Drosophila melanogaster: one gene and its partners. Changing the gene in region 1 together with any one later gene gives a genetic interaction. Each region holds a gene or a part of one and is shown on either strand. Other genes may lie near its edges.

Evidence for each region. Genes that interact genetically often act in the same process or in processes that back each other up.
Region 2: of Dd (region 1) and Lpin, changing one suppresses a phenotype caused by changing the other (phenotypic suppression), as found in Drosophila melanogaster (one study listed by BioGRID).
Region 3: of Dd (region 1) and put, changing one suppresses a phenotype caused by changing the other (phenotypic suppression), as found in Drosophila melanogaster (one study listed by BioGRID).

What each region holds. Positions count from the first base shown.
Region 1 is NC_004354.4:21,318,658-21,326,431, forward strand, and holds Dd (dullard), read right to left. Parts: upstream 5,353-7,774; 5' UTR 4,573-5,352; coding exon 4,474-4,572; intron 3,506-4,473; coding exon 3,248-3,505; intron 3,163-3,247; coding exon 2,980-3,162; intron 2,857-2,979; coding exon 2,665-2,856; 3' UTR 1,134-2,664; downstream 1-1,133. Other genes in the region: anox (anorexia), read right to left, coding at 1-138; SLIRP1 (SRA stem-loop interacting RNA binding protein 1), read right to left, coding at 198-470; CG1486 (uncharacterized protein), read left to right, coding at 5,804-5,914, 6,053-7,165, 7,232-7,513, 7,571-7,774. UniProt on the Drosophila melanogaster protein: Serine/threonine protein phosphatase that may dephosphorylate and activate lipin-like phosphatases.
Region 2 is NT_033778.4:8,152,872-8,158,781, forward strand, and holds the start of Lpin (lipin), read right to left. Parts: upstream 3,784-5,910; 5' UTR 3,184-3,783; intron 1-3,183.
Region 3 is NT_033777.3:14,618,921-14,627,928, reverse strand, and holds put (punt), read left to right. Parts: upstream 1-2,225; 5' UTR 2,226-2,683; coding exon 2,684-2,729; intron 2,730-4,256; coding exon 4,257-4,442; intron 4,443-4,509; coding exon 4,510-4,686; intron 4,687-5,625; coding exon 5,626-5,771; intron 5,772-5,839; coding exon 5,840-6,655; intron 6,656-6,715; coding exon 6,716-6,895; coding exon of another isoform or gene 6,896-6,907; 3' UTR 6,908-8,899; downstream 8,900-9,008. Other genes in the region: CG7886 (uncharacterized protein), read left to right, coding at 1-163, 242-919; His4r (histone H4 replacement), read right to left, coding at 1,504-1,635, 1,700-1,879.

The DNA of each region.
Region 1 (7,774 bases):
GGGGCCATTCGTGGCCTGCTTGTAGTATCCGTAAAATATTAAAAGGTCCGCGGAACCAATGCTGTTTGACTGCTTGGCCACATGCTCGGTGGCAAGGTGGAAAAGCTCGTCCACGGTGTCCGTATCGCTGTCCGACATGTCAAAAAAAAAAAAAATCTGCTGAGCTTATAAACTAAATGACAATTAAAGTGGGGAATCTAAGATTTCTGTATGTTTAGGTAGTTGCCCTCCAGTATGTGCTTCTGCTCGTTCTCGATCTTCTCCAGCGCGGTCAAACTGTTGAAGCTAACGAAACCGTAGCCCTTCGAGCACCCCGTTCGCTTGTCGAAGATCACGTTGGCGGACACCACGCGTCCGAACTCGCGGAAGTAGCCACGCAACTCCTGGTGGCCCACTGTCCACGGTAGATTGCCCACGAAAATGCGGTGCACTGATTTTCCGACTTTTGCTACAGCTGCGGCGGTGGCCATGGACTCGGTTTTGCTAAATGAGGTGTGAATTCGAATTAAATATGGTTTTCTGCTTCTTCCAGCCAAGGCGATCTGGATTCCCGGCGACTCCTTACCAGTTGCGTTGCGTAAATACTGCTGCGTTTCTGTTTCACGTCAACTTGCTGTTTTTGTCGACAGAGAGACATAACCTCAAAGAGGCAGCTAACAGCGCAGTGCTATTACCCTACATGTCGGAGTACATTTGTTCATATATGTAATCAATACTGCAGAGGAGCGTACAGATAATTAGTTAAATGTAATCAATTGGTTTGAAAGCCAATGTAATGACTTCTAAGCTACATTACTCCTAAAATAGTAGTTCATGCAAATAGAATAATTATTTTGTATGTCTATAAATTAAAACTATTGGTTTCAATAGATTAATCTCTCAGAATCGATTTAATTTAAATCTTTATCGTGCTAATCATTTTTCTTAATGTCATAATATTCATCCAAATAGAGTATCAAATCGCTGATGTCTAGTAAGCATAAGCTGCTTTCATTCATTATTTGTGCGCTTAACAGCACATATTCGCACTAACAGGTTCTTACTAGCAATCTGTTAAGCGACGAAGTTCTGTAGAACGGAAAGGGAGCGCCAAATTCAAACGGCAGATCAAAGAAAACACATTTTTTATTTTTGATTTTGCATGATTTTGTTTTATTTTTGTAATTCTTTTTCTGATTTTCCCTTCCCTTTCCCTTTCTTATTTATTTCATTACTCTTCAGTTTAACAAATTTGCTATCAACTACTTAAAATTAACAACATCGCATACACGTATCTTTCTCGATTTCCTTGCAATAAATAAACAAATATTGATTGTTATAAATGTACAATACGATCAAAAGAACAAGTGGATAAGGGTGGGGTTAGGGGTAAGGGCGTGTGCAAGCTTTTGTTGTTTAGTTTAGAGTGGTGTATTTATGCTTTTGGAAATAACATTAACTATGGAAGCCGTTTTCACGTGTTTCTTTTTGTCTCTCGCCTAATTCCTCTGCTGCTGCCCGGAATATCCTGAATATCCTGTGATGCTTCGGATGATGTGCCACGATTTCTCAATTCTCAGACTAACTCGGTTCTCGTATAATTAGTGATTTGGCTCTCTAAACTCCCTATATATATCTGTCCCAGTCTGCGGCTCATTAACCTGATCTGATCCGATCCTATCAGAATTAATTTGATTTTTAATTCTTTTCGCTACTTGGCTCGCCTTACAAAATATAAATTTTGCCTTACTTGCTTGCTCCTCGGTTGTTGTTTACTTTAATAGTAGTTTATAGTTGTGGGTTGTTGCTTAGTCGTAAATATATAACTTCCCCAAAAATCTTATCCATAGAAAAGTGTTATGTTTGGTTTGCAAGCAATGAAACTCTTGAAGATCTTTCATCCGTTTAGTTTTGTACAGGAAACAAGGGCAGAACGTACGTAAGTCTATACAGAATCGGTTACATATTTAATAATTATCCATAATAATGATGTCCAAGTTAAGTTTCGTAATTAACTAATTTGTATAACTATAAGTATTTTGCTTCGTCTTGTTAGTTCGTATCTGCACAAAAACAACTCCAGTGTCATAATAGTTAATTGTTATCATGGTATAGAAATTACAAGACTGTTGTTGTAAGTGGCCTTAGATTTAAATTACAATAATATGATATATAACTTGACAAATTTGTTCTTTATGTTGTGGCTTCGCCTTCTGCTCAGCTTTACATTCATATATATACTGTATACTGTATATATATACTTTATACTATATACTGTCTGTGTTCAAGAGTTTTTATTTGATATTATAATCAAAATATACACCCAAAAAAACAAGCGAAAAAAATGTCTAATAAAAATAGCTGGTCTCTACATATATGGACAAGTATGTATGCATAATTAGATTGTTAAAAAAAAACTGTTAGTCTATACACAAAAGGAGAAATAAACCATCGCTTCCAAATCTCCCAATATATCCTCAACTTTCTGCTTTATCTGTTTGTCTCATCTTATCTCCGCTCATTTGACTGAATGGTACAAATTTTAAATAATAATGAACAAATTCGTTAATGTGTCACAGCACCACCTTGTTTGTTGTTAATTTCAGAAGATATTCTCCCCACTTCGCTGGCCCTCAGTGCTCCTTCTAAATAGATAAACTAAACTAGCGACAGGCGGCCCACCTGCTACCAGAGGCGGTGCAGGTGCAAGTTCCTCGACAGCACCGATCTCACGTCGTTCGTGAACCTCAGCGCATCCAGCATGGGCAGCAGCGACAGCAGCGCCGTGTCCATCGGGTCCGAGAACCAACTCTTGATGGGTATGGCGTTGTTGGGAAAACAGCGATAGGCGCCGGGCGAATTGTCGATGATAAATATCTGCAAGGAACGATGCTCAATTTAGAACAAAATACTCGTATATAAAGTACGATCTTATGCAGCACCCTCTACTTTATCGATTTGCAACTGATGGCTCGCATGGAGTCACTTGTTCCCGCTTACCCTATTTAGGTCACTGCAGATGGCCGACAGGTCTTTGGTGTAGGATCCGTAGTCGGGCGTGCAGTGCTGTCTGTAGTATCGCCTCCGGAGGATGTTTCGTCCGTTGTCCAGCTTGTCTGCCACCGCCGCTCCGTAAATCTCCATGCTGGCCGTGAAGACCACCAGATCGTACCACTGCGAGACCTGCGGGCAGTAGGGCGTAAGTTAATGTGTTGACTTAAATGCGGGAATGCATCTATTTGCTTGGCCAATCAATTCGGGAACTTACCACGTCCAGGAAGTAGTCCACATGCGGTCGCTTGTGCACGAAAAAGCGCACTGGATTCCGATCGATGGTCACTTTGACAGTGAAATCGTGCGGCGTGCCCGGCTTCACCGTATTCCGGGGCATCGCATTGTGATGGGAGTGGATTAGCGTTTCGTCCAGGTCCAGAACGAGGGTCTTGCGCTGCACCAGGCTCAGGCGGTGCCGCGAGACGGGTGACAACGGGAAGAGTTCGTATTTAACCGGTTGATACTGGATAAACTGAGAAAGTTAATACATAATCAACGGAGCAGTACTTGAAAGGCATTCGACATGGGGTTCATATGATGGGCTTGGTGGCTATGCGTCGCTACACTCTGTTGGGGTTGGGTTGCGGTGCAAGGAGATGTTAGAGGTGCTCAATGGCCAAGTTATCACTAGTGCATGGGAAACCCCAATTTACTGATATATTATGCTTTTACAAAACAATTAACAATTATTAGCTGTGCAATAGCATATAATGTTGATGTGGATTCATCGATATCTATGTATATAAGCAGGTCGAAGGTCAGTGCCTCTGCCGCGTCACGATATCTGGCCAAAATCGCCGGCCCAGTACTGAGAGAGTATTGAAGGCGGGTGGTCGATAAGGCGGATGGGAGAACCGTGGACAGCACTTCTGGGACGGGTGGGGATTCGGTGGAACACGAACCATTAAACGTGTGGCGGAAAATCTTGATAGAGGCTTACTTTAAGACAGGTGTCACTGGCTAAGCGGTACCCAGCAAAAATATATGTAACTTTACGAAAATTTAAAATTTTGCAAATATTTAGGAATAAATATCTCGTATTCGTATATATTGAAAGTTACTCTAAATTTAATAGATCGCACATTGAAGTAACGTAAATATAATTTGAAAATATAAATGAAACCATATTATTGATATGAGAGATTTGCAGATACAAAGATCTAAAATATATGAATTAATTTTAAGTTCAACGTTTCTATTCATGCAAATCTTCAAATAAATTTCCGAGGCAAACACATCCATACTCTCTAGCGAGTACTACCTGTATCATTGAAAATCTTATCAGTGCGGCCGCTTTTATTATTATTATTCTGTAGCAGTAGTACTTAAGTTTCGATAGCGGGAGCGGGTTGGGAATAATTTCGGCGTTTCGGGCGGGTAAAAATAGGACTATTTTTGTTTTGTGATTTACTCCTGCTTTCGGGTAATTTCAGTACTTACAGCTCGCACTTGGCGATTGAACATGAAACAAATGCATGTCCATACTTTTGATAGCAACAACAAAAGCGCACGGAATTTCATTTGCAGCAGCGAAATCATTGGAAATAGTGCAAGTCCTTGTACGGTGTTTTTTTTGTTCGGGGCGATTAATTCGATAAATCGACCACGATCCGCGATTGACCGCGGTGCGAGCAGATTCCTCTTCTTCTTCCGCCTCCTCTACTTTATTTTTTCTTTTGCAACGAATTGTTGTTGTTTTTGATAACGCGCCGAGAGCCACACGCACACTCACCCACACACCCGCGGGCGCGCTTCACACAACACACACTCACACAAAAAAAACCCGGAACAAAATCGATAACAAGGCTTCTAGATATTTTGTTGAAAGTGTTTTTCTCTTTTCCCGGTTTTTTACTTGAGTTCAATTATTCGGTGTCGCCTAGTTTTAAGGTCCCTTTTCAAGGGAGAAGGAGGGGTATGGTCTTATTTCCAATTCTTTTGGGGGCTTTTTATATCTGGCGTCTGCTCTTCTTCTTCTCTTTTGTTGTCTTGTACGCCAGTGTGTGAGTGTATTGTTTTTTTTTTAGCGTAGTGTAGTTTTTATATTTTGGCAACTATCGCACCGATTTGGGAATAGATTTTGTTTTTGGTTGAGCAAAACGAATCAATTGATTGAGCTATTGCACTTTGATTGCAGTCGATTGCGAGGTGCGTTCGCCTGAATAGTACGACCTGGCCGTGGACTGTTCATTACTCGTTGGCGCTGCGGCTTAGTGTTTATTACATAAATATAGTTTGTCCGCGTTTCGTTTTTGTTTAATAAATTCCCACACTCATGCACACACTCATGTTTATTCGATACTATCGCACTTTCGCAGCATCGATGAGTTTTCCGCAACTATCGATGGCTGTGTAGTATGACCGTGCGGTGCTGTCTTCAAAATCGCTGAGACACAAACCGTGACACAAACCACTGTGAAAACTCGTCGTTTAAGGTTACGAGTAGGTGCTATGTATGTACGTTTGTGTGCTGCTGTCCAACGTCTTTTAGTGGCGGATATTATAATAGTTTTCCAACTTCCTTGCGACCTATTCCATCACCAGAACCATGGGCCAACAATCGCACACTATTTGCGATCTTAGTCAGACGCACCCACTACGGTCACACCATTCCACATCAGCCTCTCTTCCATCAACACACACACACACTCGCCCGCCCCACACACACACGCACACACACCCACCCACACAGACGCAGTGGCACGAAACGAAAACAATTATTTTGCATCGCAGGCGATAAGTTAAAAGTGATTTAGACCGCACTGAAACCATGTCAGCGGCTGGTAGATCGGTGGACGATCCCGGCCAGAGCCCACTCGTAGACCAAGAGCCGGATCCGGGCCAATCAACGCCAGCGGTGGCCGAAATCGCCGCTTCCAGTGTGAGTGTTTGGTTTTTTTCGCCCTGCTTCTATCTTTTTTTTTTTTGCTGACGACGACGGAAGACACGTCAACTTCTGGAGCGCTGTTGTTTACCTTGTCCACTATCCCACCTAATTAGCCATGTATTCGCCACATAGATTCGATCGGGCCTGGCGGAGCTGGAGCTGCGATCTTCGCAGGTGCTGCAGCGCTTAGAGAACGTTAAGGTGTCGACCACGCCGGAGAGCCCAAATCCCGTCGAGAACGAGGAAGAGGCTGGGGAGCGGGTGACCAGCGAGGACCTCCTGCCAGCGAAGCATCGCGTGCCCTCCGACATTCTTAAGTCGCTGGAGCAATTGGTTTCTTACACGGACAGCGACGATGATCCGGAGTTCCCGCTGCCCGCCCTGGATGACGTCTCCCACTTGGCTCTCATATCGCACAGCATTGTGGCCTATTTGTCGCATCTGGACCGTCAGCAACTGCTCCGGGTGACGAACAGCATTTCCGGGGACGCCACCCGCTGGTTGGGCACGCTGTTTCACTTTGCCCACCCGGCGAGCAGCTTCCATGCGGACAATGCAGACGCGGTGCTGCGTACGGTGCGACTGGCCATCGTCGCCAGGTGTCCGGGGTACTTGGAGGGTGGCATACCCGCCCTGGCGCAGCCTACGTTTTACATCTCGGAGAATACGACGCCGATGAGGCTGCACTACGCATGCCGCCAGTTGGGCATACCGCTGGAGGCTATTAAGGTCATTCCGGAGCACAGTCAGTCCGGGACAATGGATGTGACGCTGCTGCAAAAGCAAATTCAGCAGGATGTGGGCAATAACAGGACTCCGCTGCTGGTGGTCGCCGACATTGGAGCCTCGTTGTGTGGCTATGTGGACAACCTGCTCCGGCTGAGGGACGTATGCAAGGCGCACAACATGTGGCTGCACGCCAGTGGCCACGGACTGGCCGCCTTGGTGTGCGCCCAAAATCAGGGCCATGTGGAGGAGGTACTCCACTCGATGGCCCTGAATTTGGGCAGCTGGCTGGGTGTGCCCAGTCTGCCCATCGTCCTGCTGCACCGTCCGCTGCAGAACAGCGCTCTGAGTGCCTTCGAATCCGATCCCATACTGTCGCGTCGTCTTAATGCCCTGTCCTTGTGGACCAGTTTGCAGGCGCTGGGCCGGAAGGCGATTGCGGAGCGTCTGCATGTGGCCTTCCAGACGTGCAGTATTCTCTTCGAGATTGCCTCCAAGTGTGAGGGCATCCGGGTGTTGGTAAATTATTGCACACACGTTTATGGATAATGTTTTTAGTTTACCAAAGGACCTTGGCATTTTCAGAGCCATACTCCAGGAGCGCAGACCGGAGCCTCTTTGTCGGACGTCATTCAGAGCCCCTTTGATGTGCAGGCGCTTTTTGATGCCGCCGCCCCCGTGGTCGCCTATCAGTTCGACGGCAGCACCACCATTCCACTGGGCGGGAGTGGCTCTTCCGCCGCCGCTGCCGCTGCTGAGCGGGAAACGGCCGAAGGCCTCAAGCCGCTAGAGAAGATTAACAATGCTTCCTACTTCGACCGGCTCAACTCCTGGCTGGGTCAAATCTTGCAACGCGACTGTCCCAATGTATGCAGTGTGAATTAATCATCTCCTTGTATGAGCCTAATCACCATGTTCTTCCAGTTTGACTTTGAGGTAATTGAACACCCGACGCACGGCAGCTGCATTCGCTACTGTCCGCTGGAATTGGGGTTGGGTGAGCAGCCGCCAAGCTCCGAGAACCTGGAGAGCTTCGCTCAGAGCTTAGAGGCACATGTGGACATCCTGCGCGCGACCATCAAGCACAAGGCACGGTTCATTCATCTGGTGGAGTGCAGCGACGTGCTG
Region 2 (5,910 bases), on another chromosome or scaffold:
TAATGCATAAATAAACAGTGACATCGAGCGGTTAGTCTAAATTACAAACAAACCGAAGATTGTAGTTGGCGAACGAAGACCCGACCCACTGCTAATATAAACAAGTATCCAATTTGCTATTTCCACAGATAATTCAGATGGACTGTGGGCGAAGCGAAAGCTTAAATGTCGCTTCGCCCTGCCCAATTATATGTTGGTATTATTTATGCACTGTTTTTGTGGCATTTTCCGATCACGTTTTCTGCGATTCCTGTGTTTCTCACTACATTATTCATAAATTGCTGACATTTTGCATTTGGCATGGTCCCGAACCAGAGTCGTTGCTCCACGATTCGATGATCCAGTGCAATGAACTCGCAGCCCTGGCTGAAACATATCGAATGGCCCTTTATGGGGCATATTCCACAAAAACTACTAATGTGGAGCACTCAAAACACCCGGGCACCGACATTAGGGTCTAGTTAGCATAATGCACAGCCAAACAACAATGAGCACCACACGCAACGTCAAGTATGTATATACATATGTATCTAAGTATCTACGTATGGCGAAGGGAAAACATTGGGGCAGTTTTGAAAACATTTAACCGTTTCACCTCGCTGAACTGCGAGCTCGAAAAAGCAAATTAAGCAAACGAATTATAGCCGAAAAGCCGTGGCAATGTTTGTTTTGGGCCAAGTTTACGCCGCCCGACAATCTAAACTCAAATATGAATTTTATCTCTTTGTAACGTTTCTCCAAAATATGTTAATCCGAAGGCTGTATTGTTTTCATCAGTTCACAAATTACGGGTGATGAAATCGGAGCGGAAATTCGGGATAATTAAAACTGGAAGTGGCAAAAAAAAACAATAATTGTAGATATATGTACATAAGCGCCAGTTTTTGTATCTGATAAACAATAAAATCCGATCTTTCTATTACTTCTGATTGTAGGCAAAGACAAGTATTTAGTGTGCAAAAAGATTGATCGCTGTGCCCAATCATGTATTAATGATATGAAACGACTGAGGAACTGTGGATAATTAAAGCGGAGTAGAAACATCACGCAGATGGAAAACATGCAGATTCATTCACACCAGTTCCGAGTACATCTGATACTGATTGCAAAAACGTTAGTGCAGTAATATTGCACATGTGCGGCAATGAGTGCGCATAAAAAGCGCAAAGTACGGCCATAAAAAGCACAGTTAAACTGATTGCCAACTGTTGGCATGACGGAGCAGCCCGTGGCAGCCCTAGCTACCAGACCAGACCAGACCCACGATTCTTCAACCCATTATTCCCAGCCACCGCTCATCCCGCTCGGACCATGCCGCTCCAGCTTTTCATAAAGCGCCCCGTCGCATTGAAATGTCACGCAAGCAATTTACATAAATGGAGTTGCTTCCGCTTGGTGAGCTGGAGAACGGAGAGCGCGGAGCGGACACAGTGCATCGCATCCAGGCAGAAGAGGAAGCTATCTTGTGTATCTGACGGGGAGTATCTGCCTATCCGAGCGCTGCTCACGTACGAAAACAACTGTTAGCAAGTGGCGAATGGGCGGGTAAAAGGCAACAGCCGATAGCGGCGGAGCGGAAGCGGACGAAGGAATCGAATCGATCAAACAATTTCCGAGCTGCTCGTCTGCCGAAAATACACAGCGAGAAATATGCCAGAAATCATAACTCGTTAAACCTAGAGATACTTATCTGCCTCAGTTAAGTTCAACTTTGCTAGTTTCTTATCTAAGATTATAAGAGCAGATCGAAGATCTTCAAAGAAACACTTGTTTATTGCTCTGTATGAGCTTTAAGCTAGAGCATCTTCGATGGGTTTCCCACTGACCAACTTCACGGTTAGTTAACACCTTAATTTGCCTACAAATTGCTCAAGTTTGGAGTTTTGAGTTTCTTTGGTCATGGTTGCGTCTTTCGTTGCCCCTTTCTTTTCGGCGGCCAGCTGAGAAGTGCTTGGCCAGATGAAAACTGAGGAACGGAAAACTCAGTGCGTAGACCCACGTGCTGGCCGCATTAACTTCACAGTTTTGTAAGAGGGAAAACGGAAAAGCGGTAATAAATGCCCCGATGTGCGTGCTGGCTGCAAAACTGAAAAGGCGCTTTATTATCGCCACTTCGGCGAGGCATTTTGTAATGTCTAGGCTGGAAAAATCAATTCGGCCGTGAAACTTCAACGAAAACGAAAAGCATGCTGTTTGCACCCCCGAAGTGCAGCATATTTTTGCGACGACGCACAGAAGCCGGCACCCTGGGAAATCACATGGATTTGGAAAGTCCTAACCTCAACATAATAGCGGAAAATGAACTAGCGACTTGGGGCAGGCAATGGCCACAAAGCACGGAAATGCCCCTTTCAGCGTTTCAGTTTTCGGGGTGAGTTTCGGTCTATGAAATCACTTCCGCTTACGCTTTTTTCCTCTGACATACAGACAGTGGGTGTGGTGCCGAAACACTTGTCACGCCACAAAACCAATGATTAGCCGCCCAGCAGCTGCAAAAATCGATAAGGTCCGTGGGTCAACAGCGTTTTGGCCTGTCTTGCCGGTTTTAAATGCATCCAAGTTTTTAAAAATGCCTGGCTGAAAGTAAAACAACTTGAACCACGAATCTTTTCTTTCGTCTCATCAAATGTTGTTTATCGATATTATTATTTTATCGATCGCCTTTGATTTCCTTCAATTTCTACCCCGGTAACACCACCTTCCCCTGCACTACAGTCTGCTTTAGTTAACTAGTAATCCCAGCTTGGAAATTGAAATTCCTTGTTTTTTTGTGACGCATTGCCTGTTGCCAGGCGGTTGCATGTTGATTTGGCCCACCCTCCTCCTCTCACCACACGTCCTGATGACTAAGAACGATTTCGCTTTCCTCGCTGCCGAAGCGAAATTCAATACAAAAGATGGGAAAACGCGTGCCGCCGCCTTTCACTTTACTTGTTCGTCGGTTGGCGCAGAAAAGAGTCTGTTAGGCAAATGAATGGGCAACCGACTGAATGGATGCCAAAGATGCTCCACCACCGGGGCGGGGTGTTAACAATTCCCGAAAGACAATGCAGTGTGTTGTTACGGAGCATATATAGTATGCATAGTTATAGTATATACATAGAAGATACCACGCACCAGAGAGAGAGAGAAACCCGATCAGACCAATATAATGTCGAAAGTGACGGACGGTACGGAACGCACCTGCTAGGCGATGGGCGCTGTGCTGATGACGCGCTGCTGCAATTGCATATGTATATCAATTTGTTGATAATGATAGTGGTGGCTATGGCCCGGTTTTAGGTATCGCCGATTTCCAGACTTCCAGATCGTGGGCCCGAGGAAAGCGCCGCTAATGAGCGAGGAAAGCGGACTTCTTCGTACCGGACCAGTTGGATGTCGTCGTCGTCGCCTCGCACACTCGAAACAATTTGTTCTTCTTTTGCCCACCAACACGTTATTGAATCTCTTTCACTGCCAGCTAACTGGTTTTTTCAGTGCTCCGCCACTGCTCGCCAAATACACACACATTGACCACTTTCCAGGGTTCTCTTTTCACTCACTCTCGTGCTTTGATGTCGCGATTTTACCGATCTACCGCCTGGGCGTTCAAATTGAATTTCAACCACGACGTCGTCGCACAATTCCGCTAATTAAACTAGTCGTCTCGGTTAACTAACGCCCGGAAAATTGTGGCCGCGCTGCGCTCGAAAATTCGGACCTCGCGCTGTAGAAATGCAAGAATAACAACAACTGCGCCAGCTGAGCGCCAGCTGAGCGCCAGTGTGGCCAGCCACTCTGTTCGCGGTGGGGAAACATCGATGCCGCCATCGATGCTGACAATCGGCCTATTGAGTACTTGTGGCTTAACATTTTCGGTGAGTTTGAAATTTTGGCGGTTAAGGTGCACTTACCAGATTTAAAGGAACTTAAGTTTTCGTGACAAGTTTGTATAGCATTGACTAGCCTCCACTATTTTGGTTAAGAAAATATAAAACCAGCAACAATAAGACTAATTGTAGACGGATAAAAAATTAAAATCTTAATAAGGTCACTGTAATGAAAATGAAGAAATGAAATGAACACAAGAACAAATCAAACAAATGTGCTTATTTCCTGGGGTAAATATCTCATACTGCATTTGACTAATGATATATATTATACTTTCAATCAGCAGAATGGTAGTCTAAGAGAAAAAACTCTTGCACCCAATATTATGACATTCCTCGACCAAAAAATAACAATTTAGTTGATAAATATTTATACCCAAGACTTAAGCTTCAATTTAAAAATAATTTAACCTGAAGTTCAGCAGGTGGTTAAAATCGACTCCGTTTGATAATTTAATTTCATAAATACATATATTTGATACAATATATGTAATTACATTAGCTAAGTTTGGTGATTTAAAGCAACATGTATCTCATTTTATAGGACGAAATTCTTGGGTGGATAGGAATACAGTTCCTAAGCGGTTCCACCGAGTTGCTTGGAAAGTTGCGATCAATCCACTTCCTGAACATGGACACATTTTTGAAGGTCGAGGAAACGTTTGGCCTGCCGCAATCGACGCCCCAGGCCACGATCCCGACCTGGTGATATCTAGCGAAGATTGCGTCAGGGGAACAAACCAAGATGGACCCACCGTCACCAACGCAGACATCCTTGTCCTTCTGTCCGCTGACACATATGAGACTGGTGGCAAGCTGAAACCTGGTTTTCCTCAACATATTCTGGCAATCTCCTTTGTTTACTATGGGTAACTCGATTTGCTTTTGTATACTCGACATTTGAGAGTCGTTAAAAGAACGCTTTCCCCATCCGGAAATCACACAGTGTGTCTGCTCAATGGACGACCCTTGAAGAGGTAAGCAGATGGGCTGTATGTCATTTTTAAATGCAAATGTAGACTCCAGGTATAGACAACAACAGGTGGGCTGCCGTTAGTACAACCTCAGGGGCAATCAGGGAACCTCCTCCAAAGAACGAGGACAGGGACGGATTCTCCATCTGGTGTAGTAGGGGTAGAATGGATACAAGCTGCGTACAAACTCTGTGAACCTGTAGTGCACTTACTTGAGCTCTTATTTCACTTACTTGAGCCCTTATTTCACAACACACTTAAGTGGGTCCACAGAATACATTAGTCGGTCGATGCCAATCGCCGGTTTGGTGCACTCCCATCGTTGGCCAAACATCGTTTTGGATAATAACAGGCGTGGCCACAAACCAACCAGCTCAGGAGAAGCACTCCTATGGTCTAGTGGCACTCCATTGTCCGATTCAGAAGACTACTTGCCGAAGACTGATATTGCAATAAGTGGTCTCAGCAGGCTTTCTTATTACATTTCTTTTTTGCTGATAAGAATAAAAAAACATGCAACACGCTTTCCAAGAAATTGAAAATTGTAATCGAATTGTTTTATATTTTATATTCACACATATTTCTATTTGTTTATAACCCAATAGGCTGGAATACAAAAAGGTAATCAGTATATACATAGATAACATCCACTTTATTCGGACTTTAAATAAGTAGCGATATGAGTGTTTAGAGAAGCACCCCCAATCCAAATTGATAACCCAGAACGCCGCTCTCACGAAGGCCCATTAGCTCAGTTGGTTAGAGCGTCGTGCTAATAACGCGAAGGTCGCGGGTTCGATCCCCTCATGGGCCACTCTTCATTTTTTGCTTTTAGCCGGATAACTAGCCAAGTCGATCTAGGCATTCCAGTCTTCCTCACTTATCATCTAATCGATGTAGACGCCCGTTCACGTAGTGACGAAGCGCACCCTGAGAGCGTACGAAAGTACTCAGTGAGCATTCAGAACACAGTTTTCTAAAAAACAAATGTATAGAGACATCAATGTGCTCATTTAGCTAATGGGCATTATTATTGGTCTCATGTCAGGAATAGATCTTTAATCGCA
Region 3 (9,008 bases), on another chromosome or scaffold:
CGAGGAGCAACAGCATTACGAACAGCAAATGCAGGTCCAACGCAAACATCTCCAGGTGCGCAAGGTTCGCAGTGAGATTAAGTATGTGGAAAACAATCCCAAGGAGGCAGCCAAAAAGAATCGCGAGTCCAAGTCGGACCATGAGTTTGCCAACGAGAGAGATGTGAGTAGTATCCACAATATAAATTAACCAGTACTAGCAATTTATTCTCCTGTACGATAACCCATCTTATCCCCACAGTTCAAGCTTAATCCCTCTGTTCAATTCGAGACGGACATTGGCGACAATGTGATGGTCAATCCTGGCCACCGATACGAGGGCGGCGGGGGCGATACGGCCTATGTCTACAACTATGAGCATGAGCAGCAGCAGCAGCCAGTCAAGCGGGGCTACGAGCACGGCTATGTGGTGGGCGTGGGTGACGGATCCCACAGGAGGCAGAGGCAATCTCAACTGGTCGAGGCTTTGGTGCAAAAACGTGTCCCAGGCGCCAGCGATGGACATGTGGCGCAGTTCGTTAGCAATCTGGAACGACAAGCGAATGCTGGTAAAACGGGGAAAAAGCGCCTTAAACCTCGGCCTGAGGACGATCTTCAGGTACCAGTCGGCGACATGCACATGGAGTCGTCGTATATGTCCCGCTCCGAAGAACTCTCCTCAACGGACGTTACGCTGGAGAACTCAGACTACGAGACGGAGGCGACGGACTCCACGTTACTTAGTAGCTCGAAATACTCCTCCATGCATGTCTTTGTGCGGCGCAAGCAATCGGAGTCCATGTCACTCACAGAAGAGGCCGGCGACGGAGATGCCGGCGGTGGTGGAGGCTCTGGCGATTTCGGCGACCAAAATGTCATATCCCCGGCCAATGTCTACATGTCCCTGCAGCTCCAGAAGCAGCGGGAGCAGAGCGCCTAGGGGTCGTGACTTTAGGTTCCTCCATTCAAAATCCCCGCAGCCATTCGCAGCCGGAGCAGCGACACCACAGCTGGCTGATACGCCGAGCAGTAACAACAACAACACCACTACCACCACCATCACACCCACAACAAAGCAGCCAACTCGATTCGATAGGATCCCCACTGGGAGAGCTAAATTTGCAGTCATACTCCCGGGCAGTAGCAGTAGAAAAGGGAACCTGCTCCTTTTTGCACGTCCTGCCATCTGCGAATTCAAGCTGCACCAAAAATGTACAAAAATATACTTTGGTCTTACTAATTTCCATTAAAGATTTATTATTTGTGTGCTCCCTAAGCGAGTTTGTTGGACCTTATTTTCGGATGATTAACCGCCCCAAGTCAAAATGCACATATGCATGATATTGAGTTCTCTATGTGATATCTTTTGATTTATTTAGTCCGTATATTGTGAAATTATAAAATATTTGCGTTCGGTTAAGTTTGCGTTGAATACTACTGATTAAGATTCAATTGGATCAAGTATTTTGAATGTAGTTAAGTTAACTCCATGGTTATTTATTATGTGGAGGTTAGAGGGCGTGCTTAACCGCCAAATCCGTAAAGGGTGCGTCCCTGGCGCTTGAGGGCATAGACCACGTCCATGGCGGTCACGGTCTTGCGCTTGGCGTGCTCGGTGTAGGTGACAGCGTCACGGATAACGTTCTCAAGGAATACCTGTGAATTTTCCGAGAAATTAATCAGTTTTTCACCACTTTCCCTTCGTTTCGCCAGAACGTACCTTTAGCACACCGCGAGTTTCCTCGTAAATCAAGCCAGAGATACGCTTAACACCGCCGCGACGAGCCAAACGGCGAATAGCAGGCTTGGTGATACCCTGGATGTTATCACGAAGCACCTTACGATGACGCTTGGCGCCCCCCTTTCCCAATCCTTTGCCTCCCTTTCCACGACCAGTCATTTCTCAGTTGCTTCGTAAAGTTGGCTGAAAAGAAGAGAAGACGCAATAAACTGTAAAGCGACGCCATGTTTGGTGAAAGGTAAACGTTCATTTGACAGGTGAAAACTGTTGTTAATAAGTCTGTTTTCATACAAAATAATGGTCTCCAATTATTTTTTTTATGTTTATGCACAAAAAAACTTTGTTGACCGATTCTTCTATTATTTACTTAAATTTCTCAGCAACAAAACTCACTTCAAGAAATCTCCAGAAAATTGCTTGTGAGCGTGACCAGATCTCGCACACCTCAAAATACCTTTCGCAAAATGCGCGTATCTAGTATTTCTATTGTCTCACTACCAGCCCTGGTCAGTTATCGCCTATCGGCCATCGCTATCGCCGCCCCGTTGCGACAAAAAAGATTTAATCGAACCGAAAGACGTGCTCGCACTAAAATCGCTTGAAAACAGGCCCGCAGACCTGCGAAAAACGAAAAAGTGCAGCGCGCATATACTTTTTCAACTGTGCCCCTCTAGCTTAAAATTAAGTCGCGGCGAAAAGTCGAGTAAAACCCGCGGAAATGCGCATGCAAACGGCGTGTGGCCAGCAAAATCGCTGCCAAGGCACCGCACACACACTCGGCCACCCACACATACACACTTAGTGCTGTACTCGAAAAGTGCGAAGACAACAGGAACTCTGTGCCAAAATAATATTAACAGTACCCAGTTATTCCATTCCACTGCACCTGTCCCCGAAACATCGAAATATTCGCGTTACGTATACGCAACGAGTGCTGTAAACAAGTTTGCACAGGCGATAACAATGTCCAAATACGATCTGCTTTATCTAACGGCGCAGCTAACGCTGGGTATGTATTGCACTGCGAGTGTGTGGGTGCATACTTATTGGCGCCTTAATTCCCAGTCGCTTTATTATGTACATATGTACATAATATTATATTTTGTCTCTGCCTTACGATTTTCCTCTGTAATGCAAGCCGACTTCGATTTATAACCATTCGTGCGTGTGATTTTTGATGATATGGGGTGCGTAATGCTATTACTTTATTAATATCACATGGCGCTTGAAAAGTTCATATATAGGGTGTATAGGCTTTGTGATAGCTTTGTCCTATTAACCAACACATCAGAACATCTTAAATTTTCAGAAATTAGGTATAACGAATGTAAATGCTAGGAATCAAATCTATTTGTGAAGTGAATAATGTATACACTAGATACTCTATTAAAGCACCAACAATTGTACTACACAAATGTAGTAAAATATCGTAAGAATTGTTGACAGTGGGTACTACGAATTCATATGTTGAGCGCCAAACGCATACTCGGTATAAATCGATCGGATACCTAATTCCCAATCTTAATCCATGTGTGTGTGCGCTGAGCATTTCTTTGAATGGATTTTGCTGCATTAGGAACTTGTTGTATGGCAGGTTCTGGTTTCTCCCACCCTTTTGCTCCACCGGCCTCCCTCTCTTTCGCTCGCCATAGCCCTCTCTCTTTCTGTGGCGCAGTGCGCTCTCTTCCCTGTTGCTGCTGTTGTTGTTGTTGTTTCTGCTGCTGCTGTTTCCTTTTTCCGCACAAGCGCCACTTTAAACCCATCCCTTTCTGTGTGCATAATGTGCCTGCTTATGTATCTACTTTACTATAAAGCATGCACGCTTACGAACACACACATACATGGCCAGCGATCCGATTACCTAAAGGACAGTGGGACGAAAAGTGTTTCAAAGGATTGAAAACAGTTTGCTTAGCCAATGGTCAAGAAATATCAATCAATATATCGCAGGCTCGTTGCAATAAACGTTTTCAAAATTAAATTTTTTGTATTTACACATTTAAAAAGTGAATTATCATTTTAATTTTTATCAACAAAAATTTCGGTATTTGGATGAGGATCCCAGATTAAATCGAATTAAAGAATGTAAATAGATTTTCAAGAAACCTTACTGCAGGCCCACTGTGCACTGCATATCCGTGCATTGGGGCCATGCCCACTCAAAGGCTGGTGTGTGGCCAGTGGGGCTAATTCCGTGCCCAAATGGGGTGGCTTTCAATGGCAGAGGCCCCAGCTTAGGACGCTACTCCTGCTACTTCTGGGCATGCGATATGTGTACAAAGGATAGCGCCCACAAAGAGCTCGCTGAGCGCCCTCCCTTTCAGTCTTATTCCCCAAATAGGCTCGACTTTATTTGCCCACCCTTTGAGCACTTCCAACCGATAATTCCATTAACTTTGATCTTTAACTACGTTTTAACTTTTTGAAAGTCTTTACTCATGTTTTAGGACTGCTCAAATATATACTTTAAATATAGATCAGTGCTAATCTAAAACTAGAAAGATTATTAATCTATTTTCCCATTGTCTTCATTTAGTCTGCTGTCTGATTGGAATCCATGGATCTATTTTGCCCGGAAGTCATGGGATCATAGAATGCGAGCACTTCGACGAGAAGATGTGCAACACAACGCAGCAATGTGAAACACGGATAGAGCACTGTAAGATGGAGGCGGATAAGTTTCCCAGCTGCTATGTCCTTTGGTCGGTCAACGAGACAACGGGTGAGCCGTGCAGAAGTTGACGTTGTTTCAGGCATACTGATTAATTTTAATTTTTCCGTTCCCATAGGCATCCTGCGCATCAAGATGAAGGGCTGCTTCACGGACATGCACGAATGCAATCAGACGGAGTGCGTGACCAGTGCAGAGCCACGGCAGGGAAACATTCACTTCTGCTGCTGCAAGGGATCGCGGTGCAATTCCAACCAGAAATATATTAAAAGCACCACGGAGGCAACCACACAAGGTGGGTTCGGATCCGGTTTCGGATTCAGATTCGGTTTAACGTTTGCTGCTACTGGGGTTTTGTCTTTGGAGTGTTTACCCCAATTTTGTTATTTTTCCGTTTGCATATATTTTTTGTTTGTTTTTGTTATTTCGTTTTTTTTTTTTTTTTTTGTATTTTTACTGCATCTTCAAGTTGCAAAAAGAGGGCGTAGGCTTCGCCTACAAAATACCACTCCTCGCATCCGAGGCAGCGTTTTTCGTGTTAACGAACTCTTGACGCGAAGTGGCGCCCGCTCCCCCATCATTTTCTACATCCCCAGCCTCCAGCAACCCCTTTTCGGAGCCGCATGTGTTGCAATTTCTGCCCTCCTGTGCACGTTCGCTGGTTCGTTTTTATTTTTATAGTAAGGTACTTCTTTAGCGATCGGGTATAATGCGTTCGCTTTAAAGGATGCAACTGAAAGAGGTAGTTATTTGGTATAAATCCAATTTATTTCACTCCGATTATGAAGGCTTAATAGGATTAGACTCTACCTATTTTGAATGATACTTAATTGGCTTGCAGCCTTAACCCACAACGAGGAGAGTATCTGTTATCTAATACCAGGTATACAAGTGTCGAGTGACTTCATTCTAGCATCCTTTCTTGTTTTTATTTTTGGGGTGTTGCTGCTGCCTTTGACTTCGAAGCCCTGTGCTGCCAGGGCGTCTTTTGTGCCCTGCTCTTTGTTGTTTTGTTCTTGGGCCTAGCTCGCTTTTATCTCGAAACAAAATGAGGGGAAAAAGAGATGCGAAATTGGGGGCGAACTTTCGTTTTTTAGTTTTCGTTTTGCCTTTCATAGCAACCCCAGCAGCTGCAGGTGCATGCCGCCACTCGAGATGTTGTTCACCTGTGGCAAGGCAGCGTTTAAAGCCCTCTTTAATGTTCGTTCCCGTGTGTGTCCTTGTATCGTTGCAGTGCCCAAGGAGAAGACGCAGGACGGCAGCAATTTGATATACATCTACATTGGCACCTCCGTTTTCAGCGTGCTCATGGTCATTGTTGGCATGGGCCTTCTTCTCTACCGACGCCGCAAGCAGGCGCACTTTAACGAGATACCCACGGTACGTACATATCCTTGTGATGTTGCCGCAAATATATAATTTTAATTATGCAAAATTAAACCCTTTAGCACGAGGCTGAGATAACAAACTCATCGCCATTGCTCAGCAACCGTCCCATTCAGCTGCTGGAACAGAAGGCCAGTGGTAGATTCGGTGATGTGTGGCAAGCCAAGCTCAACAATCAGGATGTGGCCGTCAAGATCTTTCGCATGCAGGAAAAAGAATCGTGGACCACGGAGCACGATATCTACAAGCTGCCGCGCATGCGCCATCCGAACATCCTCGAATTCCTGGGCGTTGAGAAGCACATGGACAAGCCGGAATATTGGCTGATATCCACCTACCAGCATAACGGATCACTATGCGACTACCTCAAATCGCACACGATCTCATGGCCAGAGTTGTGCCGCATCGCTGAGTCCATGGCCAATGGACTGGCACATCTGCACGAGGAGATCCCGGCATCAAAGACCGATGGGCTAAAACCATCGATAGCTCACCGAGACTTCAAGTCTAAGAACGTACTGCTTAAGAGCGATCTGACGGCCTGTATAGCTGACTTTGGTTTGGCCATGATATTCCAGCCAGGCAAGCCCTGCGGCGATACACACGGTCAAGTAGGCACTCGACGTTACATGGCCCCAGAGGTGCTTGAGGGTGCCATCAATTTCAATAGAGACGCTTTCTTACGCATAGACGTCTACGCATGCGGCCTAGTCCTCTGGGAAATGGTGTCACGGTGTGACTTTGCCGGACCCGTCGGTGAGTTCCAGCTGCCTTTTGAGGCCGAGCTGGGCCTGAGGCCGTCGCTGGACGAAGTTCAGGAGAGTGTGGTAATGAAGAAGCTGCGCCCTCGTTTGCTCAACTCCTGGCGCGCCCATCCGGTGAGTGTGACTTCTGATAATGCTTTTAGTCAATGAAAATAACTTGTAACTTTTTTACAGGGACTTAATGTATTCTGCGACACAATGGAGGAGTGCTGGGATCACGACGCTGAGGCTCGTCTTAGCTCTTCGTGTGTGATGGAACGCTTTGCGCAGCTAAACAAGTATCCCTCAACCCAGTTGCTAATCAAGAACCACACCAACATTGACGACGCCAAGGAATCTACGAATTGCTTATAGAAGCGGTACTAAGCCACAGACCAGCCAGCGGATCTGTGGCTCTGCAAAAAAATCAGTTGAAGCTTTTTGCTTCGTAGTGGATAGTTGATCGTCGAGGTCGTAAGACGTTTCGTTTTTAGTTTAATAGTTTGTAGTACCATTATAAGCAGCTATAGAATGGGTTGATTTATACGAAAGAAGTCGTGTAAGATGTAACTTTTCCTAAGGGAAAAGCCAAAAGCTTAACATGCCAACGATTCTTTGTTATTATTTTCTTTAAATTATAAATCGACTCATTCGATGTTAACCCGAGTTCTTAAATCTGTTGGAAATGAGTGGAAACGTACACTAAGCAACTTTGAACAAAGAGCATTAGCTATGTCCAGAGACGTGGTAGTTGCTAATCCGACATTGACTTCATTGACTGATAACCATATATAGTTCTATATAAATCATACATATAACGTACAATTTGTTTTGCCCTCTGGCAGTAGCCTGTGTGCATATGTAAACTGTTGAAAATTATCGTCAAGCCTTTTAAAGTATAATTTTATTTGTACGTTATCGAATGTCTTCATATAGTAGTAGTTTTATATTTAAAGTTATTTTCAAAATAGATTTAACAATTTTAGTTTACTTTTTAGTTGTAACGTTTTTATTTCGCGCTCAAACGTGCATGCGTTTTAATGTTGTATTTTAAATAAAAATACTTTAAACTCCATCCTAACCATCTGATTTTTTATTATTTTGTCTGTTTTATATTTCTGCTTTTGATTTTTATTTTTTTATTTCCAAAACGTAGTGCCAATGACCCTCAGAAATCGCGTAAGCATAATAAATGTGTAATTATGTAATTGTATTCTAATTCTACTGGACAGTACAAGCAACACCTGAAGTTTTCAAAGGAAAGTTTCTTTTTAACAAGAATCTAACTTAAGCGCATATACATAAATTATAAAATATAAACTATACTCTTTATATATACACACAACACATACACGCATAGGCATACGGAACACACGCAGTCTAGCAGGTTTATATGAAGCACACGCTGCGACTCATCGTCAGCATAAAATCTAAACAAAAAAAAAATCAAAGTTAATATTCAACCCAAGAGGTATGCACACACTGTAAGAAATTAGAGCTAAACACAATGAGTAAGTATGTTAAACATTGTTAAACGGATAGTATGTCTTATAATGTTAGCCAAACAAGGTGTATGTCGAGCTATAGTTATTTAAGCTATAGTTTAATTAAGAGAGTCTTGGCGGAATGTATTATCTTTCGGGTTATTTGAAACTTTTTTGCGCAGCATCAGTTCTTATCAATGGCTAAGCATCTGAAATACTTCTGGATTATCAGTTAAGATATCAACTAAACACGATACACAACACAGAACAAAACGAAACAAACAAAGCTTCATTACCTGATTTTTTTGAGCAACTTACAACAAAAATAGTTTATTACGCAAACAAACAAAAACCAAACGACATAATCTTAATAATAGAACGAATTTTGTTATGCTGTATTTAATTTGTATATTTTCCATTGGTGCTGAAACATCATTACGACGAACATAATGATAATGAAGATAATAAGAAACGAATTCAAAAACAACCAGTATTTAAAGAGCGAAGGAATAAACAATTAATATTTAATCATAGTAGTTTGTTACATATCAGATTGCTAAATGGGATAGAGGAAGATAATATAAATCGATCATTTCAAAAAGATTTGCAGAGAAATTTTTATAGCATTATACAAGGCAATAACAAGCCAACAGCAATTTTGGTATATTTTTTAATGCATTTCATAAGTAAAACCAAAACGAGTTTATAAACAGTAAATTCATAAGAAAATCTTTTTAAAACACCCCATTTTCGAATATCATCAGCAAAGTTTTATAAAAACCAATATGCGAAAAACATATACGAGATGATAGCAAGTCGTGTTAAGAAGTTTACGATTAAAAAACGATCTTTGATAATAACGGATTTAAAATAAAAATGCAACTGTTTAATAAACAATTCATCACCGGTTTTTCCTTAATAAAAATCGACTCTATTCCAGCTTTCTTGCCACTTTTATTACAATTGTCTTCCGTAAACATTCAGACCTTCTGGATTATATAATT